Linked DNA regions of Alligator mississippiensis. The protein of the gene in region 1 interacts with the protein of each later gene in a pairwise test. Links are inferred from orthologs where the notes say so. Each region holds a gene or a part of one and is shown in the gene's direction. Other genes may lie near its edges. The genes, in order: NTAQ1, RABAC1, XIAP and TOLLIP.

What was found.
Region 2: the proteins of NTAQ1 (region 1) and RABAC1 interact in binary tests that used the Homo sapiens proteins (3 or more experiments, as listed by UniProt). The two-hybrid records come from large-scale screens. The link is inferred for Alligator mississippiensis from reciprocal best matches to the Homo sapiens genes NTAQ1 and RABAC1.
Region 3: the proteins of NTAQ1 (region 1) and XIAP interact in binary tests that used the Homo sapiens proteins (3 or more experiments, as listed by UniProt). The two-hybrid records come from large-scale screens. The link is inferred for Alligator mississippiensis from reciprocal best matches to the Homo sapiens genes NTAQ1 and XIAP.
Region 4: the proteins of NTAQ1 (region 1) and TOLLIP interact in binary tests that used the Homo sapiens proteins (3 or more experiments, as listed by UniProt). The two-hybrid records come from large-scale screens. The link is inferred for Alligator mississippiensis from reciprocal best matches to the Homo sapiens genes NTAQ1 and TOLLIP.

What each region holds. Positions count from the first base shown.
Region 1 is NC_081826.1:20,601,393-20,609,313, reverse strand, and holds the start of NTAQ1 (protein N-terminal glutamine amidohydrolase), read left to right. Parts: upstream 1-4,911; 5' UTR 4,912-5,313; coding exon 5,314-5,387; intron 5,388-6,836; coding exon 6,837-6,936; intron 6,937-7,354; coding exon 7,355-7,405; intron 7,406-7,921. UniProt on the Homo sapiens protein: Mediates the side-chain deamidation of N-terminal glutamine residues to glutamate, an important step in N-end rule pathway of protein degradation.
Region 2 is NC_081838.1:29,452,009-29,459,752, forward strand, and holds RABAC1 (prenylated Rab acceptor protein 1), read left to right. Parts: upstream 1-4,729; 5' UTR 4,730-4,744; coding exon 4,745-4,854; intron 4,855-5,255; coding exon 5,256-5,363; intron 5,364-5,618; coding exon 5,619-5,846; intron 5,847-6,248; coding exon 6,249-6,346; intron 6,347-6,601; coding exon 6,602-6,703; intron 6,704-7,009; coding exon 7,010-7,098; 3' UTR 7,099-7,291; downstream 7,292-7,744. Other genes in the region: cornifelin homolog, read left to right, coding at 3,332-3,473, 3,617-3,753, 4,370-4,459. UniProt on the Homo sapiens protein: General Rab protein regulator required for vesicle formation from the Golgi complex. May control vesicle docking and fusion by mediating the action of Rab GTPases to the SNARE complexes.
Region 3 is NC_081831.1:71,243,570-71,250,912, reverse strand, and holds the start of XIAP (E3 ubiquitin-protein ligase XIAP), read left to right. Parts: upstream 1-4,327; 5' UTR 4,328-4,342; coding exon 4,343-4,368; intron 4,369-7,343.
Region 4 is NC_081825.1:186,447,843-186,455,263, reverse strand, and holds the start of TOLLIP (toll-interacting protein), read left to right. Parts: upstream 1-4,417; 5' UTR 4,418-4,525; coding exon 4,526-4,558; intron 4,559-7,421. UniProt on the Homo sapiens protein: Component of the signaling pathway of IL-1 and Toll-like receptors. Inhibits cell activation by microbial products. Recruits IRAK1 to the IL-1 receptor complex. Inhibits IRAK1 phosphorylation and kinase activity.

The sequences.
Region 1 (7,921 bases):
GCCAGGACATCACTGGGAAGCAGGAGACGGGGCTTCCCTCCACTTCTGCATGTCCCAGCAGCTGCATGTGGCAGCAGGAATCGGGGAAGGCAGCTGGCTCCGTTGTGCCGGGTCTTCCCACAGTGGTGCATGAGGAGCTGCACGAGACGCAGGAAGCACTGCACAGTAGAGATGGGCCAACCTTGCTCCACTCCATGCCAGCATGTGCAGCTCCTGGAATTGGCTGGAGCTCAGCCAGACCCCCTCACAAGCCCCACACACACTCCCCACACCCCACCGTACACCCCCACCCATCCCTCAACCACACACCACACATGCCCCTCCACACAGTATACAAGAGTAAGACTATAGTTTGAGATATTATGCAATCACCTTTATATACACCATGCAAACACACATAAATCAGGACAAAAATAGTTTTTGACAAAACTAAAATACATTATTGTAGATGTTTGACTTTTTTTTATATGATTTGGTTGTTTTCGGTTCCAAGAGGAAAACTGTGCCCGCCCCCCCCTCCAAGGAGTACTTCTGGGGCAATGGGAGGGACTTCCAGTGGCAAAGGTCAGGGGTTAGGGGTGGGACTTCTGGTCCCAAGATGGCGACCGGGGGCGGGGCACATTTCAAGGGGCGGGGCTACCCTTGTGGCCCTCAACAGCTCACCAAAATTCATTTAGCAGCCCTCCAACTGAAATAATTGCCCACCCCTGAGCTAGACTGTTCTCAATGGTAGCAGATGACAGAACAAGGAGCAATGGCCTCCAGTTGCAGCAAGGGAAGTTTTGGTTGGAACTTAGGAAAAACTTTTTCACTAAGAGGGCAGTAAAACACCGGAACAGCTTACCAGAGAGGTGGTGGAAGCTCCATCCTTGGAGGTTTATAACACCCCACTTGACAAAGCCTTGGCTGGGATGATCTAGTTGGGACTGGTCCTGCTTTGAGCAGGGGGTTGGACTAGATGACCTCCTGATGTCCCTTTCAACCCTCGTTTTCTATTGTTCTGTAACAAAGGCAGGGTAGGTTTGCACTGTATAGACCAGGGGTGGGCAAACGGCAGATCTGGCCTGCAGCTGGATCCCATTGCCCAGCAGCCCCTGCCCACACAGTTGTGGCCCGTTTCCATGGAGACCCCAGCAGTGGGGTCTGTGACAGTGTGGGGCCAGAGTTTCCATGGAGACCGGCCCCAGCATGCAGCTGGGCGGGGAGAGGCTCTGTGGCCGGGGCTGGAATCTTGCCGTGGTGACAGCGTGGGCTGGAGCTGGGGCAGAGCTGTGATCCGCTGCCTGCACATCCCAGCCTGGGGTGTGTGGGCCACAGATCGCAGCTCTGGCCCAGTTCTGCAAGATCCCACTGCAAGATCCCAGCCCCAACGCAGCTCCCCACCCAGCTGCATGGCTTGTCAGCTCTGCTGAGGCAGATCTCCATGGAAACCCTGGCCAGCGCCCCCGCTGCTGGGGTCTCCATGGAAACCATCCACAGCGATGCAGGTTCCATAGCCTGGACTTTACTCACCTCTGTTATAGACTAACCAAAATAGATATTTATCTAGCACAGGGGCAGATCTGGGAAGCGCAAGGTTGCAGTCACACCTCCCACCTTTGATTCCTCTTCCACCCAAGACTTAAAATAAAGGGCCTGGCAGTGGCAGCAGCATTTCTATTCAGGTAGCAGTGAGGGAGTCACTTGACTTCATGGCTCATTATCATCTACTTGATTCTTTCTAAGCTCTTAATTCCACAAGCCTTTCTGATTTGTAAATGGTCTTGCCATACCACTAATAAAGCTAGCCTTTCTTCTTTAATTCTCCTGTCTTTTAGCTGCTCCTGATAATGTAGCTCCTATTTCACAGCCCTGCAAACTGTTTTTAACTTTTGGTGCAAACATTAACTTGGGTGAACATCAACTCAGGTGTAAAATTAACTTTCAGTGAAGCACTGCATTCTAGATTCCCTACCTGCTCACCTCCCTGACCTCCCAAGTACAGAAGGCCAAATTCAGCCCATGACAGCAAGGTTCCTATTTGATGGGGGGAAACACATCTGGACATATTGTAAGAGCCATTTTGGAGATTAGAGTTCTGTTTAATAGTTCAGTCACACCTGCTTGCATAATTAATGGATTAGGAAACCCAAAATCATAGGATCATAGGAAGGGACCTCACAAGGTCATTTAATTTAGCCCCCTACTCAAGGCAGGATTATCCCTGACTAAAACATCCCAGCCAAGTGTCTGTCCAGACTGTTTTTGAAAGTTTCCAAGGATGGAGATTTCACAGCTTCTCTAGGTAGCCTGTTTCAGTGCTTCACCATCCTCATAGTCAGAAAGTTCCTTCTAATCTCCAAATACCTCCTCAGTCTTCTCTTTTCCATACTAAATAATCATCAGCATAAAAAGGTTTTCCCTTTTCATATATTTTTCATATATGATTCCTTTTCACAGCACTAAGCCACATCTCGGGCTGTCATCTGGGACCGAAACGAAGATCTCAGACCCAAAGCATAATCCTCTACTAGTTTTAGTAGCAACAAGTTCTTGATTTTAAAAAAGGCCTAATTGTAGGTTCCTAATCCATTAGCTCTTAAATTATGGCCTGGTTACCAACATTTTCATTAAAACTGGCTACTAAATACATTTTTCTATCTTGTGGTTCTGATTTGGGAATACACTACTAGTACTATATGGTTCAACTGATAGGGGAGAGAGGACAAAGACCACACTGTCTTCCAAACAGACATTGTTACACTATACTTTCCAATCCAAAATAAAATTATTTTAATGAAAAGCAAACCCGTTTTCTTCAAGACTGTTTTTTTACTTCCCTCCTCTTTAGCAAGAAAATGCGTGAAGAGTTCACATGAAGATTTTAGTCCCAAAAAAAGAAAAAAGAGAAAAGTTCAATATATTTCAGTTAGAAATGGGCATCAGCCAGAAACCTCACATCTGTACACTCCAAAATTCTCTTATCCACACATTTAATTGGAGACCTCACCATGGTTTTGATGTGAAGCCAGGAGTTTTAAGAACTGTCTTGTTCTGGAAAAATTTTTTGAGGGTGATATCTTTTATTAGATCAGCTATGCAGTTGGAGTAAAATTAGATAAGCTTTTGAATTCTTTCCCAGAGACCTGTCTAAGTGTCTAACTTTCTTCCAACTATACAGTTGGTCCAGTAAAAGATATCACCCCCTCCTCCCCCCCCCCAAAAAAAAAACAAACCCCACAACCTTTCCTCTCATATTTCCTGGAATATCACTGGTATTTCACTCCAACCTTACCAAAACATAATTTTTCTCACAGCCTTAAGCAGTTGGAGAAAGTGTCAGGCCTGCTTTGAAAGTTGCGCAACAGGATGTACAGGGGCCATAGTAGCTGTGAAAATAGAAAACAGAAGTACTAGTAGGTCAAATATGGACAGTTTAGGTTTGTTGTCAGGAAAAAAGAAGACCTCCTTTGCAATAAGACAGGACAATTGATCATTGTGAGAAAGACCAAATACTTCTTTAAACCCCTCGGTCACTGATTTCCTTATTTCTGTGTGCTAATGAGAAGAGTTTAAAACTATAAAAGGTAAGTGACACCCAAAGCAACTTCTAGAGACCAAACACATGCAGCCCCTTTCAGTTTGACTCAAAACCCCACACACCACTTGCTTGACCTCATTTACAGTCTGAATGCTTCAAGGTAGTCTGGTTCAAGCCTCCCTTGCCTTAGTACACAGCATATGTCAATGGCCGGCCCAATCCCCAGATAGGCAAAGCTATTTCTCATTAGTGGTGCTCAGGTGTCCCCGTAATATCATAAGCATTTATCAATCCATAACTTTTGCATAATTAAATTTTACAAGAGACTCTGGAATGCATTTGGTAAAGCTAGCAGCTTTAAAGAAGACATTGTTTTATGGCCCAGGCATTGAGAAGCCTCAAACGTTTTGAGGTAAAGTGTCTTGCCCTCAAAGAAGAGAGAGTGGAAGGAGGAAAAGGAGAGGAATCAGCCCACAGCCTACTCTCCCCTGCGGAAAGACCTGCAATTTCTGTGGGTGGACCTCTGGACTCTAAGCCACCTCAAGACCCATCAATGAGCTGTGGCAGAGATCATCCTCCAATTGAGGGATTGCTGGTGGTAACCGAGAAGACTTTCAAGCATCTGCAAGTTCCTGGGGCTTAAAACCTAGTCCAGGAATCTCCTTCTCCTGCCACTGATTTAAATGCAACCAAGAGGAAGCACTTGCCTCTACTATGACAGTATTTGCCCCACCAGGTACCAACTATGCTTTCTCTCTGGCTGGTTTCCATGCCCCTGGGAAACTTCTTCATTGTTAAAACAGTGAGGCAGTGAAAGAGATGCCTAGGGAAGTTGTGGACTCCCCATCACTGGAAGTATCCAAGAAGAGGTTGGACAGTTACTCATGAATGCTGCGTGCCCCCGGAGGCTGTGGGGAGCATGGCGAGCTCCCACAGGCGGTGGTGGCGCTGTCAGCGGTGGCAGCGGCAAGCTCCTGCAGGCAGCTGTGGCACTGTTGGCGGCAGGGGCGGCGAGTGGCAACGGGTAGTTGGCGACCACCCGCAGATGCCGCTGGAAACAGCAGCCAGCGGCAATCAGGGACCACCCGCAGATGCCACTGGCGGTGTCCTTGGTGGGGGGTGGGCAAGCAGCAACTGCCTCCAGGCGCTTTTTGCAGGGGTGCACCACCAAGCTTTGGGGGTGCACGTGCACCTGTGTTCACCTTCTACACGTCACCAATGCAGGCACTGGTCAGGGACGATCTAGGTGTAGCGCTGTGTTCTTCTATGGGGATTTCTCAGGCTTCTGGGCTTTGCTGCTTGCCTCCACCCTTACCTTTCTGCTACCTGTTTTAAGCCTCCCTCAGAGGCACTGGGTGTTGGCAACAGCCAAGCCTGGGGACTTCGGGTGCTGGCCGGAGGAGGTTCCTAGCTGGAGGGTCTCGCCCCTCTGCTCAGGGCCAGACGGATCACCAGATTGGCGTCAGGAAGGAATTTTTCCCCCTGGTCAGACTGGTCCAGACTGGGGGGGTGCTTTTTCCGTCCTCTCTGGCAGAGCTGCCTGGCATCTCTTGAGTGCAAACTGACAGCACCAGGCAGGTCGGGCGAGGAGGGCTGTGCCGTGTCAGCCTGGCTCGGAGCAGCGGCTCGCGGGTGCGGGTGCGGGGAGGCTGACACCGGGCTCGGGCCTCTCCCGCTCCTGCCAGGCGCAGGCTCCCTCCTCGCCCCCGCCGCCGCGCTGCTTCTTGCCGGCAGCGGTCGCTGCAGCCGGGTTTCCCGGGGAAGGAAACGCCGCGGACTCGCGCCCGGGCCCGATGGAGCGGGCGGCGGGGGCGGGCGCTGCACCTGCCCCTGCCCGGCACGGCTGCGTCTACACCAGCTGCTACTGGTAAGGGCGCCGGGCACGTGTGCGGGGGCGCGGGGCTGCCCCGGCCCCGGCCCTCCGTGCAGCCCCGGGCCGCGCTGCCAGGCGGGGCGCACGGGAGCCGGGAGCGGCCGGGGGAGCCGGTCCCCGCGGGTGCGGGCACGCACCGCCCGGCCCCGAGCAGCCCAGCAAATGCTGCTCCGGTCGGGGGGGGGGCCGGAAGGGAAACACTGTCTTCTTGAACACTACATCCCAGAGTCCCTTGCAAAGTTGAATTATGCAAAAAAGTGATCGATTGATGCATGCTTGTGATATTGCGGGGGCACCCGAGAGCCACTGCTAAGAAACAGCATTGCCTATCTGGGGACTGGGCCGGCCAGTCGCATCTTGCTGTGGGCTCAGGCATGGGAGGCTCCAGCCAGGCTGCCTGGCCATCCAGGCTGTAAATGGGGTCAAGCAAGTGGTGTGTGGGGTTTGGGTCAGCTGGGTCCTCCCCATCCAGACCCCGCTACCCCCGCGTACCGTGCTCTCAACTCTGCATGTGAACACCCCAGCCTGCCCCGGGGGAGAGCAGGGGCGCCACAGCAGCCGGCGTCCTGCCTCTATGACATGTTGTCCGTTTGCACTCAAAAGATCCTGGGCAGAGCGCCAAGCCCCCTGCTATAAAGGAAGGCAAAAGCCCTCCCAAGCCTGTACCAGTCTGACCAGGGGGTACAATTCTTTCCTGACCCCACTGATGATGGGTCTGACTGAGTGGAGGGGCGAGACCCTCCAACCAGGAACCTCTGGCTTTGGTCCCAGGGGGAGCACTGGCGCACCCCAGAGTCCCCAGGCTTGCTGTAGCTAACCTCCAGTGCCTCTGGGGAGGCTTAAAAACACCCTGACACATATAGCAGAAAGGTGGGGTGGGGTAACCAGCAAAGCCCAGAAACCTGGGAATACCCACGAAAGAACATGGGCACAGCTACGCATAGATCATCCCCAACCAACGGCTGTTCAGTGGCATTGTTAGGATTGTTTCTGTACTATCCTTCTATTTAAAACATTACATGCGTTTCACCACCTGCATTTCTCTTTTCAGGCCAGCTTTTTATTAAAGGGGCTCAAAGGGATACTCAACTCAAGGGTAATTTCTTCAGAGGAAAAGAGAAAGGGAAAAGTCTGGCACAATGCTAACTCTCGATACTGCACAGCATTTATTTTAGTTGGAGCCAACCAAATGCTGCTGCTTAGCCGTCAGACATTTGGACTGCAATACTGTTTATTAATTGTATGTGAAGATTTGTGTTATAAAAAAAACACCGTAGGTCTAAGTTCTAAATTTTATCTTTACAAACAGGTGTGTAAAGGAAGGGTCGGCGGGAAGTCCTGGGCAGAAGCTCAAAGTGGGAAAAGCACAGTGGCTATCCTGCTCTGAGTTTTATGAATTGGGAATGAAGCAGACATTTAAATAAAATCCCTTGTGTTTTACAGTGAAGAAAATGTTTGGAAGCTTTGTGAATACATCCAAAGCCAGGATCAGTATCCATTAGAAGAATTTTATGTTATTTTCATATCCAACGACAGAAAGATGGTAAGTTGTTTTCCATATCACTCATTTGTCACCACCAAATTGAGATTCAGGCCTTTTCACTGTGGTGGGAAGATGGCCCAGGCACATGCATAATGGGAAGCCAAAGAAAGACCCTAAAGTATTTTTGTCATGCATGTGTGAGTCAGGACTGGACAGGAACCTGAGATGTATTAAATCCCTCAGCCTAGTAGGAAACAGATGGAACAGATTGTAGGATACAAAATAGATCCCCAATTAGGAACTCACCAAAAAAACCCTCAGACTAATAGAAGCTTTATTATTATGATTATTACAGATAAAACATAAACCAATTAAGTTTGTCAGCCAGTAGACAATAATTTGTCCTGTAATAGTCTGAAATCTTACCTGTTTGTTTAATCTTACTTCAAAAGAACTTCTTAATACTTGTAATTTGCAGATACCACTTTGGAAGCAGAGATCAGGATGTGGAGATAAACCTGTAGTTTGGGTAAGGCATTCTATTCCCTTTTATGTTGGTTCTTTTACATACTTTTGTCTGCAGTGTTGTATCATCTTTTAGTAGCACATTAAACACTGCAACTAGCATTGCCACATATTTCTCCTAGTATTTCTTCCCTAAATCAAATATTGATGTGGGCATAATGGACAAGATGCACTTAGACTTTATCTTGCAGCTTCACAGCAAGAAGCTTAGCAGTCCTGGGCCTGGCAAGTAGTAGGCAACTGTCAATCCTCTGGAGCATGGTGTACACATAAGAGTAGTCAGATGCCTGATCCAACGCCTGACTGACAAGCCCAGTTTGAGAGTGACACAGCTTGTTACAAGTTTCATGGATCCATATGTTGTCTGAGTTGGAGTCCATATTTACAGCGTGCTGCTTTCTTCTTTATTGCTTTGCTTCCATCCCCTGGATCGAAGCTGCTTGATGTTAAGCTGCACCCAGTGACATGTATGGATAGGTTTCTATGTGCTCCTCCCAGCTTTCTATGTTGATGTTGAGCC
Region 2 (7,744 bases), on another chromosome or scaffold:
CCCAGCCCTCTGCAGTGAGCTCAGCACAAGAGGGGTAGACTGTCCGCTCTCCAGCCCGGATGCCTGGCTTCTCTCTGAGGCTCCCGGTGATGACAAGGGTCTGCCGGGTTGGAGCATGCAGGGTTGGGAGCCAGATGCCTAGGTTGTCTGGGAAAGGAGAGGGCCTGGGGGGTTTGAGCAGGATGCCTGGGTTTTCTGGGAGAGGAGAGGGGGATGGGGTTCTGAGTGGGGGGGGAGCGGGAAGCCTGGGTTTTCTGGGACAGGAGTGGGGTTCACTGTGGAGGATGTGGGGTCTGGTGGGTTGCAGCAGTAGGGAGCTGGGATCCCAGACTCCTGGGTTTTTTCTCCAGCTCTGAGTGAGGGAAACAAGGGACTGGTGGGAGCAGGACATGAGGGAGGGGGAAACTGGGAGGTCCTGGGAGTTACTGGGTCCCCAAAGCCCACCCCACACCCCTCCTGCCCACATCAGCCTTTCCCCATCCAGTCCAGCCCCCCTCGCCTCCCAAATAACATCGCTGGATACCCCAGGAGGCCAGACCTCCTGCCAAGTTCAGACCCCCGGAGCTATGGGGGGATACAGGGGCCAGAAGGACCAGCAATACCTGGAGTCAGCAGCGTAGCCAGGAGGCCGAGGATGAGTAGGATGTGCATGGTGCTGTACGTGGGCACCGGTGCCCAGGGGGTTTTATACTTTGGGGCTGGGTGGGGCACGCAGCTCTCACCAAACCTAATCCCCCGGGATCAATTCCTGCCGCACCTGGCGCCAGCTCTCCTGGCCCCAGTGCGTCGTTTCTGGCAGGCCTCCCCGCCCCAGCCCAAACCCCATGGCCCTCCCAGAGCTCCCCCACGGGCTCCCAGCCCCACCCTGCTCTCACCCCCTGAGACCCCACTCCCCTCCTCTCCCCTCCCAGGGCTGGAGACAATCCGAGGGTCCAAGTCCCCCCTGCCAGCAGATCTGATCCCCTCTCCTGCCAGGGCAGGTCCCAAGCAGAGTAGAAATCCAGGAACACCTAGTATTCATTACTTAATTAAGAGGCTCAGACCTCCCTGAGCTGGGACTGGAGGCCTCTTGATCAAGGCAGAGGCAGCCTAAAGGAGGGGCTAACAGCCCAGCTGGATACCCACTGGCACCGAAGCCAACCCTTAAGAGGCCTGGGGCCCTTGAGGCCCTTAACAAAGCCAGACCTAAGGAGGCATGGGGCCCAGCCCAAGCCAGCCCAGCTGCCCTAAGGCAGCCAGTCCTAATGAGGCGTGGACAGCCTGAGCTAGCTCAGATTCTGAGGGCTGGGGTTTCCCCAAGGGGCTCGTTTGCATCCCAGCAGCTCGTTAATTCATTCGCTGACCAATTGTGCTCCCTAAGAGCTAGCCTAGGAAGCCTGAGGCCACAGGTCAAAGCCACGCCGGACATACCGTGTGGCCCCCAGCCTGGCTTCCTTACCCGTGCGGCTGGCACCCTACCCCACTCCCCTCCAGAGCTGGGGGAACCCAGGCGAGGGTCTCACTAGGGCCTAGGGTACTGAACACAGGAAGTGGGCAGGGGCTGCGGGGGAGGGGCTAAATCCAGAACCAATCAGGAACCCTGATGGGAAATTTGGGGTCCACCCCCAAATGACAGGAGCACCTCTCAGCCCCAGGGCCACCAGGGACCCACTGACAAGCTGGACCCCCATCTCATCTAGCCCCCCACCTGGGCAGACCCACAAAGAGGTGTGGCCACCATCTTAAAGGCCCAGACACTCAAGTGGAGGAGGGTGCTGGGCTCTCTCCAGGGCTGGGAGGTGCAGCGCCTGGGGGGTGAGAGCAGGGCTGGGGGCTCCGACTCCTGCCTTCTCTCTCCAGCTCTGGGAGGGAAAGGAGGGGAGTCTGGGGAGCGGAGGCAGGGAGCCCCGGTGCCCAAGTCCTATTCCTGAAAGAGGGGTAGGAAGCGCTGCCAGGGGCCTGTTGTTCTTTAATGGCCTGAAATCCATTATGGACTTAACTAACTGTGCAATTAGAGGGCGAGTGGGGCCCTGCTGCCCTCTGCTGGAGACCCCAGAGCCCAGTTCTACCCAGCCGTGCCCCACAGCCCCCCACCCCAGAGCCAGCTGCCCCCAGTGCTGGTCTACCTGGAGCTGGGAGAGAACCAGGGCATCCTGGCCTCCTCCCCCCAGGCAGCATGGGAACCCAGGCCCCCCCGTCCCCCCCACACACGCACGCACCCAGTACCTCACTCCCAACCCACAGCCCCCTGCCCCCCCAACCTGACTCCCCCCCCACTCCTGACCTACAGTCCCCTGGACCCAGGCCTTGCACTGCTCCAATCGCCTCCCCAGGCTTGCACTTCTCCCACAGAACCAGGCATCTCAGCAGGGGGGATCCTGGCATTATGGGGCATGGGAAGGAAGAGGGGTGGGCAGGCAGACGGATGAATAGACAGCTGAATGGATGGACAGACGGATAGAGTTAGACAGACAACAGGCAGGTGGAAACCCCTAGGCGCCCAAGCCTCTCCCAGAGCTGGAGAGAACCCAGGCGGCCGAGGTGGCGCCCAGGGAGGCCAGCCCTGACTGCGACACCACCCCTCCCCGAATGGGGAAGGAACACAGGTGCCCGGGCTCCCAGCCCCCTGCTCTCACCCCCAGACCCTACTGCCCTCCCAGAGAACCCAGGCATCCTGGATGATGGGCTTCCTTTGACGGTGCAGCCCCAGTGCCCCTCACTCCTGACCTGCTGCCCCCCACTCCTGCAAGTGCTCCTCACTCCTGACCAGCAGCCCCCCACCCCGGCACGTTCCCTGGGCAAAGTCCAGCCGGGGCGGGGAGCGGAGCCACCCACTCAAATATTGACCCTCGTGGGGCCTCGCCCTGCCCCGCCCGCCCCCACCCCAAACACACACAGGGCCCAGGGAGAGAACTCAGGCATCCAGACTCCCAGCCCCCCCTGCTCTCACCACCCCTCCCCTGCCCGCTCCCACGCCCCAGGGCTGATAGAGTCTGCGAGCCCCCACCCCCCTGCATCCAGGCACAAGGGACTGGACCAGGACCAGCGCAGGAGCCAAGGACACAGGTGGTGTTGGGGAGTGCCGATGCCCCTCATGCCCAACCCGCGGCCCCCTGCCCTCCAACCCTGCCAGTGACCCTCACTCCTGACCCACAGGCCCCTTTCCCCCCCAGCCCTGCTGGTGCCCCTCACTCCCGACCCACAGTCCCCTGGCTCTCCACTCCCAAGCCGCAGCCCCCTGCCCACCCAGCCCTGCTGGTGCCCTTCACTCCCGACCCTCAGCTCCCTGCCCCACAGATACCTGGCTGGGGGGGGTTAGGGGTCTCTGCTTTAACCTCCCCTCCCCCCCCAGACCACCATGTCCTACCAGACGGAGATCATTGTAGACTCACAGCCGGGGCCGCTGGGCCCTGGGGCAGTTTTCAGCGTGGGGGCGCTGCCGGGGGGGGCCTGGAGCTCCGAGCTCTGCGACTGCTGCTCTGACGTGGGCACCTGTGAGTAGGGGGGTGGCTCTGGGGGTTTGGGGGGGGTCTCAGGTGCCCTAGGGGAATGGGGTCCCCTAGGGGCACCTCTGGAGGGGGGTGTCTCTGGGTTGGATATCCAAGGCAGGGTTCCCAGAGGTGTGCCCCACTCCCAGGTCTGTGTGGTGCGCTGGTGCCCTGCATCTTGGCCTCCCGGGTCTCGGAGCGCTTCGGCCAGACCTGCCTGCTGCCCTGCTTGCCCGGGGCCCTGGTGGCCCTGCGGACCGGCATCCGTGAGCGCTACCGCATCGAGGTGGGTGTGGGACAGGGGGGCTGCGGGTTGGGAGTGAGGGGCACCGGGGGGAATTGGTGGGGGTGCGGGTCAGGAGTGAAGGACACTGTGGGGAGGGGATTGAGGGGCACCAGAGGGAGTGGAAGGGGCTGCAGGTTGGGAATGAGGGGCACCAGACAAGGGTGAAGGGTTGCAGGTCAGGAGTGAGGGGCACCAAACAGAGGGCTGTGAGTTGGGAGTGAGGGGCACCGGGGGTGTAGTGGGGGGCTGCAGGTCAGGAGTGGGGGGCAGCGGGGGTGTAGGGGGGCTGCAGGTCAGGAGTGGGGGGCAGCGGGGGTGTAGGGGGGCTGCAGGTCAGGAGTGGGGGGCAGCGGGGGTGTAGGGGGGCTGCAGGTCGGGAGTGGGGGGCAGCGGGGGTGTAGGGGGGCTGCAGGTCAGGAGTGGGGGGCAGCGGGGGTGTAGGGGGGCTGCAGGTCAGGAGTGGGGGGCAGCGGGGGTGTAGGGGGGCTGCAGGTTGGGCGGGAGGGGCAGCGGGGATGTAGGGGGGCTGCAGGTCGGGAGTGGGGGGCAGTGGGGGTGAAGGGGGGGGGGCTGCAGGTCTGGCGTGAGGGGCACCAGCTTCCCTCTGCCCCCCCAGGGCTCTGTGTGCGACGATTGGCTGGTGATGGTTTGCTGCCTGCCCTGCGGCCTGTGCCAGCTTTCCCGGGAGCAAGACGCCCGGCAGTGACGGGGGACGGTCATTTGCACAGATTTGCATGCATGCAAATGAGCTCACGCAAACGACCCTACCCCAGCTCCCCGCTGACACCTCAATAAAGAGCTGATTGGAGCCGCGCTGTGGACGGAGCCTTATTTCTCCCCGTTTCAAAGTGGCATCTGTTTGCATATATGCAAATCAATCTGTTAAAGGAGCCCCGCCCCAGGCTCAGAAGGGGTGTGTGTGGGAGGGGCATGTCCCATCCCCACGTTCCAGGAAGGGGGGCGCTGGAGGAGCCGGACTCTATTTCCCAGCATGCTTCGCGCCCCTCGCCTCTGGCTCCCGGCATACCCCGCGCCCCGCCCCCCCCGCAGCGTCGGTTACCCGTTGCCACGCCGACAGCCGCGCTCCGGCTCGGGACGCAGGTGAGGGGCGGGCGGGCGGGCGGGCGGCGGGGACCCGTTACCATGGCGACCCGGGATGCAGGGACCGCGCATCCCTGCTGGGGGGCGGGGGGGGACACACCGGGATCGGGGCCGGCCCCGCCCTGCACGGGCACGGATCGGGCCCCCTTGGGCACTCCGGATCGGGCCCTGCCCCCCGGAACCACCCCGGAGCAGGGCCCTATCGGCGACCCCCCTACGGGCCGTGTCCGCCCCTGCCCCCGGCACTGCGCACGCACCGGGCCGCGTCGGGTCCCGGAAGCTCTAAAAGGGGCCGAGTCCCCGCGGGACCTGCGCCCCCCCCCGCCCGGATCGGGCCCCAGGGGCTTGTAAAGGGGCTCAGCCCCGCCCCGGAGCTCCCAGCCCCCCGCTCTCCCGCCCAGGCCCGGCTCGGGCCCCGCCGCCATGGCCGGGAAGGGCCCCGCCAGCCCGGAGCAGCTCTTCCACCCGGGCAGCGACAGCGACAGCGACCCGCCCGCGCCCGGGGCCAGGTGCGGGGACCCCGGGGCTCGGGGGGGTGGGGGCGGAGGTGGTGGCGGGGTGCGGGGCCCGGGGCTGAAAGGGGGGGAAGATGCGGGACCCCGGGGGGGGGCGGGGCTCCAGTGGCGGTGTGTGGAGCGGGGGGATGCGGGGACGCGGGGGGGTGCGGGCCCCCGGGAGGGGGGGTGCGGGGATTCGGGGGGGGGTGCGGGCCCCCGGGAGAGGGGGGCGGGTCCCCCGCAGGGTCTCACCCCCGTCCCCCGCAGGTCCCCGCCGCCCCCCGGGCCGGGCGCGGCGCTGGGCGCGGGGCTGGCGCGGGCGCGGGGCTGGCTGGGCCGGTGCGGGGGTGTCCGGCCGTGGCCGCGGCTCCTGGACCCGCGCCGCTTCGCCAAACCGCGGGACGCGGCGGAGCTGGGCCGGCGCGTCACCCGTAACGCGCAGCGTTTCCACGGCAACTACGCGTGCGTGGCCGCCGCCCTGGCGCTCTACTGCCTGTGAGTGGGCGGGGCCGGGGCTCCGCGGGGCGGGGAGGGGGCCCGCTTCTATTGGGGGGCAGGGTCTGAGCCTGGTGGGTTAAGAGACCCATCCTGCAGGGGGCGGGGCCAGGGCCGGATGCATGGGGCGGGGCTCCGATGCTGGGGGTTGGGGTCCTGATGGGGGCAGTGGAAGCTGATCTGCCCCCTCCGGCCCCCGCAATTCTGGGGGGACAAGCCCAGATCCTGGCGGGTGGAGTGGGATTCTGGTGACCTGGGCCCTGAACCTGCCCCCAGGGGTGGGAGCTGAGGAAGCCAGGATGTCTTATGAGCGCTGGCATGGCAGGTGATCAGGGGAGTGGATCGAGGTCACCTGGGAGCTCTGCTCCCCCCCCCCCCACTTACCCTTGTGTCCCCCCCCAGCATCACGTCCCCGCTGCTGGTGGTGGCTCTCGCTGTCTTCCTCGGCGCCTGCTACGTCCTGCACGTCCGAGCCCAGCAGGGGCCACTCGTGGTCCTGGGTGAGGGGGCCCGATCCAGGCCTGATCCTGGGAAGGCAGCAGGGGGAGGGGAGGGGAGCATAGGGCAGGGGCTTGTTCCTCTGGCTGCAGGGGAGAGGGGGCATTGAGCTACCTGGGGAGGGTGGGGATTGGGTCTTTTCCATAGGGCCCGGGCCCAATCCTTGGGCATGGTGGGCTGCCTCTGGTAGTGGGGCTGGTCTGGGGTTAGGGTGGTGCTGGGTACCTCTGACCCTCCCATTTCAACCCCCCTCCCAGGCCGTGAGCTGAGCGCCGGGCAGCAGTATGCAGTGGCCGGAGGTGTCTCCTTCCCCCTCTTCTGGGTGGCGGGGGCTGGATCGGCTGTCTTCTGGGTTCTGGGTGAGTGAGGGAACCTCCCCCCTCCAGCTTGCAGGGCAGGCACTGGGCTGCGGGTTGGCAGTGAGGGGTACCGGCAGGACTGTAGCGGGGTGGGGGACTTTGGATTGGGAGTGAGAGGCAACAGCAGGGCTGGGATGGGCAAGGGCTGTGGGTTGGGAGTGGGGGACACCGGCAGGGCTGTAGAGAGCGGCCAGGGGGATGCGGGTGGAGAGTGAGGGGCACCAGCTGGGCAGGTGGGGTGGGGTACTTACGGCCCCCCCCCCCCCCCCATCCTCCTGTCTCCCGTGCCTATCCCTGACCCCGCAGGCGCGACCCTGGTGGTCATTGGCTCTCACGCCGCCTTCTACGAGACCGAGCCGGCCGAGGGCGAAGAGCTGCAGATGGAGCCTGTGTGAATTCCACTCCCAGCGGCCCCTTCTGCCCCCCAAGTCTGCCCCCCTATGTTGGCCTCTCCTCTGTCCCACCAGCTCTTTGGAGCCCCCTTCGCTGCAGCTCTGCCCCCGCTCTCCCAGTAGGAGAACCCAGGTATCTGGGCCTCCCCACTCCACGGGAGGCCTCTTGATGCTAATAAAGCCCTTTTGAGTGCGAGCTCGTGTCCTGTGTGGAAGGGATGGGGCAGTGTTGAAGCACACACGCCTTGTGCACATGGCACGCCCCGCTCACCTCCCAGCACCATGTGTCTATGATGTGTTTGGAGTTGGAGCAGGGGCTGGGAGCCTGGACACCTGGGTCATTGTCCAATTCTGCTCCCAGGAACTGAGATCTGGGATCTGAGAACTGGATAGCTGGGTTCTCTCCAGCTATGGGCTGGGATTGGGGGCTGGGGGGTGAGCAACAGGGGCTGGGAGCCCAGACGCCTGGGTGCTCTCCAGCTGCGGAAGGAGGCTGGGGGGATGACTTGGAGTAGGTGGGAGCTAGGAGCCAAGATACCTGGGTTCTCTCCAGCTAGGGGAGGGGGGTGGGGGGGATTGCTTAGGGCAGGTGGGGGCTGGGAGCCCGGACACCTGGGTTCTTCCCTGCTCTGGGGTCTAGGGGATTAGT
Region 3 (7,343 bases), on another chromosome or scaffold:
TTGTTTTTACTGCTAAGTAACCAGAGAGACCATTAATCTTGGTCCAGTGAACTACTCACTGCTTCCCTGTTCTGTTTCAAACTCTGAAATAGAAGTGGGCCAAGCTGTTTGGGAATCAGAGTCAGCCTGACTGCTCTCACCACAGATGTAGTGCTTTTTTTTTGCTTTCTAAAAAATATTTTAATCCCTGTAGTCACACTTGTTAGAAATGAAGGCACTGTATTGTACAATACCCAAACTTTGGGAACTGAATCTTGATTTTGTCATGTAGGGCTCACCAACCTGTGGCACAAATGGGCAGCTGGGATGAGAGGCCAGCCCGAGAAGGACTGGTAGAGCCTGATGGGGAAGAAAATCCACCTGGGATCCTTATAGCCACTGCGTTTGAGTGGGTACAGACCCAAAATCCACTGGTAGGGAAGCAGAGGTCACAGAGGATCCTTGAGAGCGTGAGAGGACATAGCCTGAAGTACTGGGGTAAATGGCCGGGTGCTGTCACAGGGCACTAAGGTGCCTGCTCCTCTAAGACCAGAAACTGCTTGGGGAGAGAGCCCAAAGAGCCAGCCAGAAGCCCACAGGTGTAGGTTACCATGGCAACAGGCTAACGAGCAAATTAGCCTGCACCTGCACCTGGTCAGCTGACTGGAAGAGGCAGGGCCCTGGGCTCATATAAACCCCAGGGCTGAGACCAGAGAGTCAGTTCTTTGCCAGTAGTCAAGGGGGAAGGAGCTCTTCTAGAAAAAGTTAAGGGAAGAGGCCTGACTGTCTTTTTGCTTCTGGTAAGATTAAGGGACTTTGGGAGCTCACCAGATACCCTGGCCTACAAGGCCTGTAGTGCTGGGGAAGAGTGGTTCTTTTCAAGGGACAGAGCACACCCTGAGCTGCTTGAATTATGTTATAGCCCAGGGGCTTGTATTTTGATTTCTGTTTGTAAGGCCAGTAGACTGGGCTGAGGCTATTGGGGAAGGAGGAGGTCTCATTGGGGACCCACTACAGTGTGGGGACCCCAGCGCCAGTGTGGGCGCAGTATCTGGGGTGCATGGATCCTAGCACCGAGGGGTGTGGAGAGAAGGAGACAAGGCTGCGGAGAGCCCAGTGCTGACCAGACGCCAAGTGAAACTAAGGCCTTGGAGGGACACTGTGTGAATGCCATCTGTGAGGCTTGGGGCATGGTAAAGGGATGGTTTGGAGCCATGCATGTAGCCCATGAAGCTGAGGGTGTCCTGAGACATCCCTTTTGGAGCGGGACCCAAAAAGCGTCCAAGAACCCACCGGGTTCAGTAGGGTCCATCGAGACCATGTCCAAACAAATTTGAGGGCAGCTTCCCTATTTCATAAAGTTACATGAAGATGTGGCAGGCAAGAAAAGGTGCCCATTGGGCAGGATTGGCATGGTCAGGGAGCCATAGGGGTATCACGGCCATCCCTGGTGACCCCATCCCGTGACAGGTGTCAGCAGGCCTAGGATCCCAGCTTGCCTGGGGAACACCCACAAAGGGAAAGCCAGAGGAGGCCAAGTGAAGTCTGCCTTGCTGAACACAGAGCACTGGAGTGTTAGGTGCAGGCACCAACAATGCCCTGCCTGCCTGCACCATGTGTGCACTTTTAGTTTCATTATTAAGTTGTGCGTTTGTCGGCCAAGAAGGCCTCACCACGCTCCCACAGGGGACCGTGTAGGCAGCTGTGCCAGGAGAATGGGCAATGCCAGCGACCCATCCCAGACATCGCCAAGACCAGAGTGGACCACCTGAGTGGAAAGGGGTGAGGTGTCGGGGTGGTGGAGCCCAACAGAAGACCTACTGGCTGAGCCACCAGGGGCCAGAGGAAAGCACTGAGCAGCACCTGCAACTAATCTCAAACAACATTAAGTTGTGGCAGGAAAATAGGCCTTGGGGCAGTGCTCAGGTGGGCAGGGCATGCCAGTGGTGGCACTGCAAGCATGAGCCTGCCATGGTCATCCAGCAGTCATGAGGCCCCTTTTCTCTTATGGTGCCAAAAAGCAGTACAACTTACAACAGTTAGCATACATATAGCCTAGCACAACCAGAACTCCCACATTATATGTAACTGTGTATGTATACACATACAGGTACTCGTATATCTACACCCCCATAGATGGATAGCTATAGCTATATATAGATTAAAAAAAAAAAAAGTGTGTGTGTATCTAATGGGAACATATATACCAAGTAATATATACATGCATATCCATATACAGGTTTCCCTTGCTTTATGCTGTACATGTGTTCCTGGAAAATGGCACAAAACTCAAATTCGCATAAAGGGATCCCACTTTACAATGTAACAAATAGGGTACGTTCCAAGACCTTGAGTGTACTGACCTCCAGACCCATTTCTACCACTTTTGCAAGACAATTTTGGTACTCACCAACAGCAGATAGTACACACAAGCACAGGGCACTATCATAATGGGGATGGCAGCTGCAGAAACACGTGTTGCGGGCAACGAGCGAGAAGCACAGAGCAACACAAGAGACTATATTTTGGCATCCGCCACTCCCACAACGCAAAAAGCAGCTGACTGCGGGCTTCCACTGCACTGATTGCTGATATAAGAGTGAATTTACCTTGCATGTAACACATTTTTGGTATAAAAAAGGTCATCGCATGAGAGTGAGTTTGCATATACAGAACCCGCATAAAAGTGAGGAAAACCTGTACAGGTACCTGTACACGCACATTTACACACAAACATATGTCACTATATAGTAACTGTATATGGAGGTTTCTCTGTGTCCTGAGTTAAAGAACTATATAGTTACTGTAACCATATAGATAGATCGATAGCTTTATGTGTATATATATCTTTATCTATCTATCTATCTATCTATCTATCTATATGGTTACAGTATCTCTTTATATCTCTATATCTATCTATCTATAGATAGATAGATATAGAGATATAAAGCTATCTATCCTATACTTACATAGGTATAGATATATAGGTATACGTGTATAGATAGATCTATCTATATAGTGGTCTAGGTATAGATAGATCTATAAATAGATAGTGACATGTTTGTGTGTGTGTATATGTGCATATGGATGTGGTATGTGTGTGTATATAGGTATGTATCTATTACACCTACACACATCACACACATGCGTATCCATAGACAGATATACGCGCACACACACGCACAAATCCATACACACGCGCACGCACGCGCACACCCGTGTGTAAGGAGAGGCGCGGGGCCGGCAGGGGGCGCTGCGCGCTCGCCTACGAGGAGGGCGGAGGGGCTGGGCGCCGCCATCTTCTCGGCGGCCGCGCCGGAGCCGGTGCTGGTGCTGGTGCTGGTGCTGCGGGCGGTAAGTGCGGCGGGGCAGCGTGAGGGGAGCGGCCCCGGCCCGGCCCGGCCGGCTGCTCCGGGGGGAGGGTCGCGGGTCGCGGGCGGCCTCTCCAGCCGTGTCGTGCCGCCGGCGGGTGCCGGGTCCCCCGCGCTGGGGGTGGGGTGCGGGTGCGGGTGCGGGGCCCTTCCGGGGCGGCAGCCCGGCCTCCCCCGCCCGGGGCCGGTGCTGCGGGCTCCGCCGGGGCCGGGCTGCGAGAGGCCGGGGCTGGTTTGCCGGCTCCCCGGGGGCACGGCACTGGTGTGGGCCGGGCCCCCGCGGCCCTGTCAAAGACGAGACTTTCGCAGAAGCGTGTCTCGCGTGGGAAAGCTCCTCCAACTTTCATCGCCACCGCCCCTTGTCCCCATCGAAGACGGCCCCTCGGGTCGCCCTCGCCTCTCCCGGCCACGCCGCCAGTCTCTTCCCGGTGAGGATTACTCGAGAAGAGCTGAATTAGGGATTTCCTCGTCCAAAATAAGGTTTTCTTTCTTTCTTTCCCACCCCGCAAATGTTTCCAGCGTGCCCTGCCGCCTCCTGCGCAAAGAAATCACTTTCCACATTTGTTCGGGTCTCCTGTGATCTCGAAGGCCTGATGCGAGAGAGACGATACTGCTTTCATTTGAGACTCGCACTCCGGTTCGGGGATGTACGTGGTAGCCGCGTTGGTTTGAGACCCAAAGAAAGGCAAAAATCGAGAACTCTTGGTGCCCTAAAATGATCTTTGCGCATCCTCTGAAGTGCGCAGACGCACGCACGCCGTCACGCAGATTCCCGTTCCTCTCTCGCCGTTCCCCTTCTTCGCCCATCGTTAATTAGAAACCATCTCCTGTTGGTTTGCCAGCGCTGAGAAACTCCTTTGCAAGGTCCTGTTGCTCGTGCGGTTGTGCGCTGGATCGGTCTCTTCTCTGATCTTCCTCCCTACGTATTTAATAATGTGATTTTTATGTTGTTTATTTATTTATTTTTTATTCAGTGGTGGTCTGTCGTGCTGATGCTTTGTGGTGGATGCATTGCAAGGTAGTTTTCAACTGTTTGCATGCAACTCGGTCTTTAAAGGACATTCACATTTCATCGTGGGTATGATTTCGGTGATATACAGCATCCTAGAACTGCTAAACATCATTTTTACTAGAAGTGCTGATGTTCGTTCCCTAAAAAGGCAGGCGTGTTCAGATGTGTTAGCTGTCCTTTTGGTGGGTCTTTATTTTTCTTGTCTGTTTTGTTTTTATTGGGGGGAGGGGGAGTCTGACATGTGAGACATCTTGCACAAGGGGCTGCTTCTACCTCGCCGCCGTCATACAAGATGCAGACCCTGTGGCGCAGAGCGGATGTCTAATCCCAGCCGTGGTGCTTCAGCAGGTCACAATATTTATTGTAATGCCTTGAACACAACAGGGCTGTTGACTTCATGCAGGAAGCGGTGCTCCTGCGGGGGTCCAAATTTGGCCAAGTTCACCTATTGTGAGAAAAACCAAACGTGTTATGAAGATCAACCACATCAGAGAGATGCCTTCCTGCTTCCTTAAGCCTATCATGATTGATGTCGATACAAAACTGTCTTTTGGGGTTTTCTCTAAAGTGATGGGACCTGGTTAGCTTTCTCTGTTTCTCTTCCTTGTTTGCTGGGTGCTCGTGCTTGTCTTGGCCTGTCTTGTTTGTATGAGCTTGCTAAACTAAGCTCATTTTGCATTTTTTAAGTGTCCTGCTTTCTTCCTTACCTACCTATGCTTGTGGATGTAACCTTGTTTGGTGTTGTGCAAGGATCGTGCAACCGTTCACGTGCTAGAAGCTATATACATGGCATGGGAGCCAAGCTGATGAAAAGAGCCGCAGGCCAGAACTGGTTCAGGAAGTTCTGCACATCTTTCCTTGGCTTCCGTAAGCAAAGGTGGGAGAAATTTTCTCTGTGGCAGAAAGAACGGTCATTAGTGCGCTCCAAAACCAGGTCCATCGCAAGTACTGTGAGGCTAATGTGGTATCTCATTGATGTCAGAAAGCATAAAAATGGGCGTTATTTAAAAGGGCTCTTTACCAGCGTGCAATTTTTTCCTGTTGGGTGGCTTGGAAAGCTCTTTCAGTAGAGTTCATGGGTAATTCTGGTAACATTAGATGCTAAAAGTGCTGTTTTTCTATTTATTGATAGCACATCCGTGGTGGATGAGAGTAGGACAAAGTAATGGGATGAGTAAACAAGAATGGATGAGAGTTTAGGTCAGCTGAGGAAGAAATAAAACAGAGATTTTTTTTTTTTTTCCTCTAAAAATGTTACCTTTATCTCTCAGAAGCGTTGCCTCTGAGATGCACTGGTAGGAAGGTAAAAGGAAAACTGAATCATCTGAACTGCCTTCTGGTTCTTCCCCTTACTTCACTTTCTACCCCCCCCTAAAAAAAGTGGACAATGACTTTTCCTCTTTGAAATCATGGCTGGAAAAATCCTTCATTTGATTTACTGATAGGGTAGAAGAAACATTCCTTAGAGAATTCTGGTCATCCATTAATTTCTGTAGAATTTAACATCACTTAAAAGAAATCAGGGCTGCTTGCAGACATTGTGGGGGGAAAAACCTAGTGCTTTACTTTAAACTTGGTGCATTCCTGTGCCAAGCCCTGTGTAAACCCAGAGGAGGTGGACCTGGCTTGCCTGAGGTCTGTAAAAATTGGGTGGTTTAGTGGGGCTTTTTTGGTGCTTTTATCTAATAGCTGATTGAATCTGTTAGCAAAAAATGCCCCACTGAAGTGCCTGACCTATATAGGTGCTACAGAGCTGGTTTGAAGCAATATGCTGCTGCTTCTAGTGAGGAGTGGGTTTTTTTTTTTGTTTTTTACTTGTTTTTTAAATACCTGCAAGTTTCTAAGTCTTTAGGGTTGTGAGAGAGAATTTGTGAGCTGATGTCATGTCATTTCCCTCAATTTAGAGACAGCTTAACAAAACACTGCAGTGTAAAGACTGTTGGCGACCTACATCCTAGCAGCGTAGTGATGTGGTCAAGAATGCCTTTGGGGCTAGGAAAGACATTTGCCACATGATTTTTTTTTTTACTTTACATTAAAACTCATACCAAGGTGCAGGATTTTTGGTCCCAAGACGGTGACCACGGCGCAGGGCACCTGTCATGTGGCAGGGTTACCCTTGTGGCCCTCAACAGCTCACTAAAACTCATTAAGCAGCCCTCCAGCCAAAATAGTTGCCTGCTAGGCTTGTGCAAAATTTCACTGTTTTGTTCCGAAGCTGTTTCGACACATTTCAAGCTCGAAACAGCAAAATCAAAATGAAACAAAGCATCAAAACAGCTTTGAAATGAAATGAGGGCACTTGAAACATTTCGAAGTGTGTTGAACCAGCCCGGTGGTGAGAGGCAGGGGAGAGCCAGGGCTGCACTCCAAGCGGCTCTGCAGCCCCATGTAGCTCAGCCCAGCGCGGAGCGCAGCCCTGGCTCTCCCCACCTCCTGCCACGGGCTAGACCCTGTGGGGCCCACGGAGCTGATCGGAGTGCAGTGCCAGCTCTGTCCACCTCCCGCTGCCGGGCTGCGCTCCAAGCAGTTCCATGGCCCCATGGAGCTCAGCCCGGGGCAGGAGGCAGGCAGAGCTGGGGCTGCACTCTGCCTCCCACCACCAGGCTGAGCTCCATGGGGCTGCGGAGCCATTCAGAGCTCAGCCCAGCGGCAGAAAGTGGGCAGAGCTGGGGCTGCACTCCACCTCCTGCCACCAGGCTGAGCTCTATGGAGCCTGCCGCTGGGCATGGACTGCTCCCAGCGCTGGTCCCAGGTGGCAGCAGCAGCCTCCTATCATCCAGCACAGATCCAGGGGCCTGCACCCCCAGGAGGAGTCCAGCACAGCCCCACAGCTGGCAAATTTTGCTTTCAAAACTTTGAGGTGCAGTTTCCGAGAAACCTCTGCACCCATCTCTTTGAAACTTGGCAGGCTTCATGCCCTCAGAAGGGGCTAGCATCCCTGCAATTTGCATCTAAATCAGGCAAGAAAGACAACACTT
Region 4 (7,421 bases), on another chromosome or scaffold:
TCTCAGAGACTAAATTTGAGGGAGCTGTTACCAGAAATTAACGATCAAGGAAGCTTGCTAGGGAGTCTGTGCTGGGTCAGCCGCACTATTTAATGTTGTTCGGCCGGTGCAAATCAGTCAGAAGCCTTGTTTAAATGGCTACTAGAAGATATCACTTGTGTGGGGCTCTATAGAAAATCCTATATACATGGCATGTAGCCAGAGGAAAGGGGGTGCTGCCTATATGTAGTAATACTATGATGATCCCCAACTCCACATACAGCCTAGCTGGCGTAATGTACTGATTGAGTGTATATTGATCACAAGATCACAAGGGATTGCAAAACTTTCTTGGTACAGACCCCACTGGTGTTCTACCAGTCCATTTACTGGACAGCATCCTTGGGCCAAATACACCTTTGAGGTAAGTCAGTGGGGCTGAACCTTCCAGCTCTGTGGGCCAAATGAGTGGTGTGAAGCTGGATCCCTCACATGGGATTGGTTTATGGTGTATCCAGTGTGGGGTCAACACAGTCTGTGGGTACAATCCAGTGAGCTGGCCCAACCCTGAACACAGCCCAATATCATGAGCTGGATCCAGCTGCTGAGTGACACCCCCATGCCAGCAGGTCTGACACATGCCAGCATGATCTAGTAGATAAGGCCATGTCATCTGCCCCATGGGGCTTGCCATGTGTTCAGAAATTGGGCAGCATGGGAGGGATAATTAATGCTGTAATCCCCCCGCCCCCAATTTCTGGACTTGGGGGGATACTCGTGGGCCAGATGACATGGCCTCACAAGGTGGATCTGGCCCACAGACCAGAGATTGAGCACCGTTGATGTAAGCTGAGTGAATTGTGTCAGGGGTGAATTTGGTCTTTTTTGTTAAATTTAATTGATGTATTTTCTGGCTTGCTTTCTTTGCCAGTGGCAAGCAGATAGCTAAGCCTTTTACTTTTGTTCCATGATAATGTTCAGTGCTGTTTGTTGATGATAAATGCTTTAAGGTTCCTGAACAGGCAAAAGGAAAGGTCTGTTTTGCTTCATTTATAGTCCTATAGTTTGAAATGAATTCTAGTTCCATCAGAAGAGCAATTTATAAATATACCAGGGAACATAACAGCCTCTATCCTCAGCTAGCTGTTCAGCTTGCATCTGGTATCAACTGTATTATCTGATCAAGGCCTCCCTATCAATTATATCAAATAATGTCCATTTTTAGAGCTAGCAAGACAAAAGCAAAAGATGCTTTTTCCTTCTCCATACATATGTTATGGTAGCATGAAAAAGATCTGTTATATATTTGGAATGCTCTTAATTGTACTGTTCTATTTCCAGCTGTTGGAATCTGCACTAGAATTTTAATTAATGACTAAATTTATGCAGCAAATCCGAACAGGAAACAGTTATGCTATTTAAATAGGTTTTGAAATTCTCAGATTTTATCTCCCAGAACAGCACTCAGATGAATATTAGAGCTGCTTTTGTTCTTCTGAAAAGACTGGAATTGCACAACAAGCTGGAGGAGATATGACTCCTGGCATGAGGGCACAGGTGGTTTCCTCATCAAGGGCCAAATCACACACGCCTGCAGAATCATAGAATCATGGAGCTGGAAGAGACCTCTAAGGTCATCTAGAAAACCAAAGCAAGGGGAACTCTGTGCCTTTTTTCCTCACTGATGTTTCTGTCATTGGGTGGGTGAGAATCTGCTGAATGGGCAGGAAATTTGAATGCTGGAACCTGTGGGTCCTCTGAGATCTAAATGGATTTTAGGGGACTTGCTGTAGAAGTCTGTGTAGCAGTCTTATTCTTCCACTTGGTCTCCTGTTGCTTTTACTCATTCTTCTGTCCGGACAGATCCAATTAGGCTATGATGAAGTAACTGGGTGCTTAAGTGCTCTTGGCAGCAGCTGTGCATGGGGCAGTGTCAGTGGTTGTGCTGCTGACAGCATGCCAGTGGCAGTGCCAACAGCACAGATGCTGCTCTTTTTGTGCTACCCACCCAGGGTTGCTGCCTCAGACTGGTGCCTCAATCTTCTTCTCTTCATTATTCTTCTGCCATGATGACACGGACTGCACCATTTGCTACTACCCTACTTCCACCCCTAGAAGGATTCATTTTTGTTAGGAAGAAAGTCTGCTCAGGAACAATAATGATTTTGTGTGGGCAAAACAAGCAAAGCAAGGTTTAAGTTCAACATGAAAGTGATATGGCTAAACTTCATGTTGTCATGCTATATAACATTGGCATTTCACTGCAACTGTGTGGTGCTGTTTCACTGCTGTTGTGGAATCACAGCGTACTGATATTTCAGTACAATGCAAGAATGATTATCCCATCACTGTGCCACCTTATGATGTCATTTCAGTGCAACTTCTCAGATATTTCACTAAACAATTGTGGTTCCCCTTCCATCTCCTTCAGCATACTGTATAATGCTGTATTCTGATGGCAATATTTACTTTGTTCCACTTCCATCTTGTAACACTGCATCACAGTGGATGCATCTATGTGAGATGCTGACTGCGCAGTAGCCTCAGCCTGATAACTACTGCGCAGTAGCATTGCGTGGCAAAAAATGTGATGCGACACTACTGTGCAGTAGTATTAGGCTACTGTGCAATAGTGTCACCAAAAAGGCATTTGCCGGTGCTACTGCGTAGTAACTCAGGTTACTATGCATTTATTTAATACTTGTTTATACGAGTTTATATTTATACAAGTACTAAATAAATGTGCAGTAACGACTGTGCAGTAGCATCTCATGTAGACGCGGCCAGTAAGTTCTGGGCATGAGGAAGTGGTAATAGTGAGGTATCTTCCACCACTGGCACCCTGCTACATGATATTTCAGCCCCACACGTACAATTTTCCTGTGCAACACCATGGTGCTGGTGCATGGAAACAATGATCCACTGCAGCACAGTTACATTTTAGTACAAGGCAAAGGAATGTATCTGCCACACTGACATACTAACTTCATAGTGACATTTTCATGAAACATGAGGATGATCCTACATTGTCAAATTATTATGTTTTGGGCACAGCAAAGATGATAGAGATGATGTTTTGGTGCTATGTCATCACTTTCTCACAGTGATATTTCTGTGCAAGGTGACAACAGTAATGTTTTACCCCATATTGCCATGTCACATCCTAGTGGGTTACAGCACCCTGCTTTACTACTGTATCACAGGAGCAGTTTGGCTCTAATGCTGCCTTGGGTCTGGACAGTGATAACTCAGTAATGGGCAGTCCAACTCAGTGCAGCAGGTTTACTGTGGTCTACTGGTGTCCATCCATGTGGGTCTTCTGTGTAGGGCTTTTTTGGAGCAGGGTGGAAGTACCTCAACGGGCATCTTGGAATAGGACAGTGGTGTCTGACTAACTAGGGTGCAGAAGCATTTCAGGACTGGGCACTAGAGTCTTGTCATTTGGCAGGAAAATCCCTCATTTGGCACAGTGACTATTCTGGCGTGAGGCAGATCAGCTCTCATTTTGGGACAGAGGCTTCACAGCACAAGAGAGCGGTGTACAGTATTATCTTGGTGGCTATCTAGTTATGGGGAGTGTCTTCAGACCCTACAGTGATCTCTTGTGCAGGGTAAGATTGTCTCCCACCAGCGCCAGGGCACCTTGGATATGGTCCTTTTGGTGTGGTACAGTGACAGCTCACCCTGGGATATACTAGGGCAACCATGTCACATGGCAGGCCTTTCTCTGGAGTTTCTGTGCGATGGTACCTCGGCAATTGCCTCTAGGGCTGGGGCCAGTGGCCATTTTGGTACGGATGGCGCAGCCTGCATGAAGGCGGCCATGGCCGTGGTGCTGCAGCCTGGAACGTGCCTCAGTGTGATGCATCTGAGTGTGTGGGTAGTGACTGTATTAGTATAGGGGCCATTTTGGTGGCAGGCGCTACCATATGTGTAGGGGTCAAAGTCCCAGGCATGGGGACAGCTGTTTTGAGGGAAAGCCTTGTGTTGTGGGGCAGAGGTGAGGCACTGCAGCACTCCCAGGCACCCTGAACCCCACCCTTTGGTAGTGATCCATCCACACCAAGGGCAGAGTGAGAAAGGTCTCCAGTACCAGTATTGCACATGCGTGCTGCCTCTTCGCGCATGCGCAACACAGCTTCTTGAGACCGATTTCTCAGGAGAGCGCTGTCCCATAACAGCCTCTTGCGCAGGCGCCAATTCCCATCAGCGAGACTAACTCACAGCTTCCGAGGTGGGGGGGCAGTAAGAGAGCACGAGTGTCGTAGCGCGCATGCGCCACGTTCTCACCACGGGCGCCCCGCCCGTCCCCTCCAGCGCATGCGCGGAGGCCACGCCGCCACTGCGAGGGCGTCAGACGGGGCAGGAGGAGAAGTCAACTCACAAGCTAACCACCCGTTGCATCACGCATGCGCAGCGGCGAATAACGGGGCGGGGTGGGGCGGGGCGCGTCAGCTGACTCCGGAGCTCGGCGTTCGGAGGCTGTTAACGGTAGCGGCGGCCTGGCCGGGCGGAAGGCGGAGGTTCCTGGTCCGAGTGAGGCGCTATGGCGACCACTGTCAGCACCCAGCGGGGCCCGGTGAGTGTCGGCCGGCAGCGGGCAACTGGGCCCCCCCAGTCTCGGCCCCGCGGGGGGGGGAGGCCCTGAGGATTTCCCGCTGTGTGTGCGCATGCGTGGTTTCCCCTCCCCCCCCTTTTTGGGGCCTCCCTTGCCCCACGTGCTGGGGGAGGGGGACTCTGGGTCGGGACTGGCCGTCGATGTTTGTAAACGGGTCCTGGTACAAAAAAGGCTGAGAACCACCGGGATCGAGGACGACTTACCCTCCCAGGAGCCTGTGCTGGCGGCACACAGGGGTGTCCCACTCGGCCCTGGCTGCTAGGACCACCCTCTGCTAGGTGACGTTGTTCGAGATGTGACAGGGGGCGGGTGGCACCATTGGAGTGTGATCCTGCTTTGGGCAGGGGGTTGGAGTGGGCCTCCTGAGGTCCCTTGCAGCCCTGGGCTTCTGATTCTACCATGGATCGAGTGGGGCTGCATTGAGACACCAAGTGTTCAAGCGCAAGAGCACTTCTTCCGGTCTCACCAGTCATTCATTTGATCTGCCCAGAGACACCCTGCCCCCAAAATCCAGTTTCTTGGACATTGCGACAGCATCATTCCAGTGTTACCACAGACACAGACGTGTGATGAAACCCTGCTTTACTCTTCTGTTCCAGTTCTCTCGTCCTTGCCTGCGTCTGGGGGCAGTCTGAATTTTGTGTTAGTACGTCTATTTACAATTGAACCCTGGTCTTCAGGTATTTATAGGGAACAAAATGGCTAGGCTGAGCAAACTAGCGGACTTATGTAGTGATGCTGAGAGGCAAGAAGACTAGGTTGTTTGTTACACTGGCCTTATCTGATGATGATGGAAGTGTGTTAGTGATCTCGTTTCCTGCGGTTTCCCCTTTGTGTTAGCTCTTTAAGAATATGTTTCTCTTTACAAATGGATTTTGTTAACTTTCGTTGCTAGGCCCTAAAGCCTTTATATGGAGGGAGGCCTTTTGTCATTTTCTTTGGCTGGGCGCCTGCCTGCAACCTTTCGCTTCTGGACTTTCCTCTCCACTAACCCCAAAAGGGCTCTTGCTTCAAATCCGTGACCGCATATATAAAACGGTTTCCTTTCTACTGGAGAAGAGCAGCCTTTCAAGACTATGTATATCCCCTTTCCTGATAGTCTTTCCACAGAAAAACTAATGCAGTTTCTATATTCCTTCCTTGTGACATGGAGGGCAAACAGCATCTTCCAAAACTGTAATGTCAGTAAGTAGACACTAAAGGGGGCTAACAGGCTAAATACAAGGTCCTGTCTAATGCTCTAATGCTGCAGAGAGTGTTACCTCTTTATCCTTCTAGCTTGCTCAAACTGGAAGCTTTCCAAGGTTGTCTTGGACGTGGGTGTCTGGGAGTACATGACAGAATGCCACCAGACTTATTTTTATGCCTACACTTTCTGATCTGTAGTTCTCATTTATATGTACATGGCAAACATTCCTAATTGCAGCTTATTTTTTCAGATGTATTAAAAGTGAAATTCCTTCTGCCCTCTTCTGATAAATGTTCAGGTGAAATATAAAGAATGTATGTATGGCAGAATATATAATGGCTGCTGTATTTCATTATGTAATTTGCAATATCTGGTACTTTTATAAAAAAAAAAAATGACTAGTGTTACTGGGGGGGGGGAATGGGGGAAATTTCTGTTTCTAAACTTATGAGATTAAAATACGCAGTTTGATTCCTTAGTTTGGTTCTCTCTGCATTCAGGACTGGAAGGGACCACAGGGTGCTCTGGGAGTTGAGGGGTGATGGGGGCTGTAGTTAAAGTGCCCCTGTTGCCATTTTTCAGCACAAGGACGTTGATCCACATGATGCTCATTTCTGCTGGAGAGCGGTAATTGCCATGTTCTAGCAGACTCAATTAATTGAGTCTGCTCCGACACACTGTAATTAGAGCATGTCCGAGCAGCCTCCCTGCATGTATATAGGCACAGAGAGACTAGTCTCTGTTATTGTTGGTAACTGTGATACAAACTGATAAAGAACCTTGGAACCTTGCTCTCCTGGTAAGACAGAAATTGGTTTCTGACTAAACTTTAAACCTGTTTGTACTTGTGTCAATATTGTCATTTAGCCTGACTGATCTTTTCACATCCCTCTGGTGTCCATCCTGATACATTTTCATCTTGCTAGGCTAAATAACCAACCTTTTTTAGTCTCCCTTCCAAAGATAAGATATTGGGAGAAAAAGGAGAGCCAAGTAGCCCTTCTCTGTACCTGCTTCTTTTTGAATTTATCTTTCTTGAATATGGAAGGCAAAGCAATCAATTTTGTTTATACTAACACCATACCTTGATGATGGGATACTAGGTCTCTAGGCCAGTTCTGACACACATCTGTCACTAAAGATGCACTGATCCTTTTTCACACAATTTATTTTACTAATCTTAATTTTTCCAAGTAAAAAACATATGTTGTAAAACTGCTATTTATGTATTACTTATTTGGCATTAAAAACAGTTTTATTTGTTTTCTGTTCTAGAGTGAACACGAACTCACTTTTGACACTTTTACCTAGTGCCTAATAACGTTTCATAAGATAAGACTGTTACATTTCTGCTAACCCAGAGCTAGTGAAAGGAATTGCAGTAAGTAACCACTGCTTCAAACAAGGCAAACTTGCTCTGCCTCAATTTAGGGGTTAGGAGGGAACAGATGAAACTATTGTGATGCTGCTCAATCTGGTATCAGTCCTCTCTTCAACCCTCCTATCCACTTCCATGCCAGCTTTTAAGTGGGGTAACTGTGTCATCTTTTCTGTCTCTAACTTGAAATGTTAATTATTTAGACATGGTTCTCAATCAGGGTGCTGGGAGACCCCATTAGGTGTGTTGTGATACAG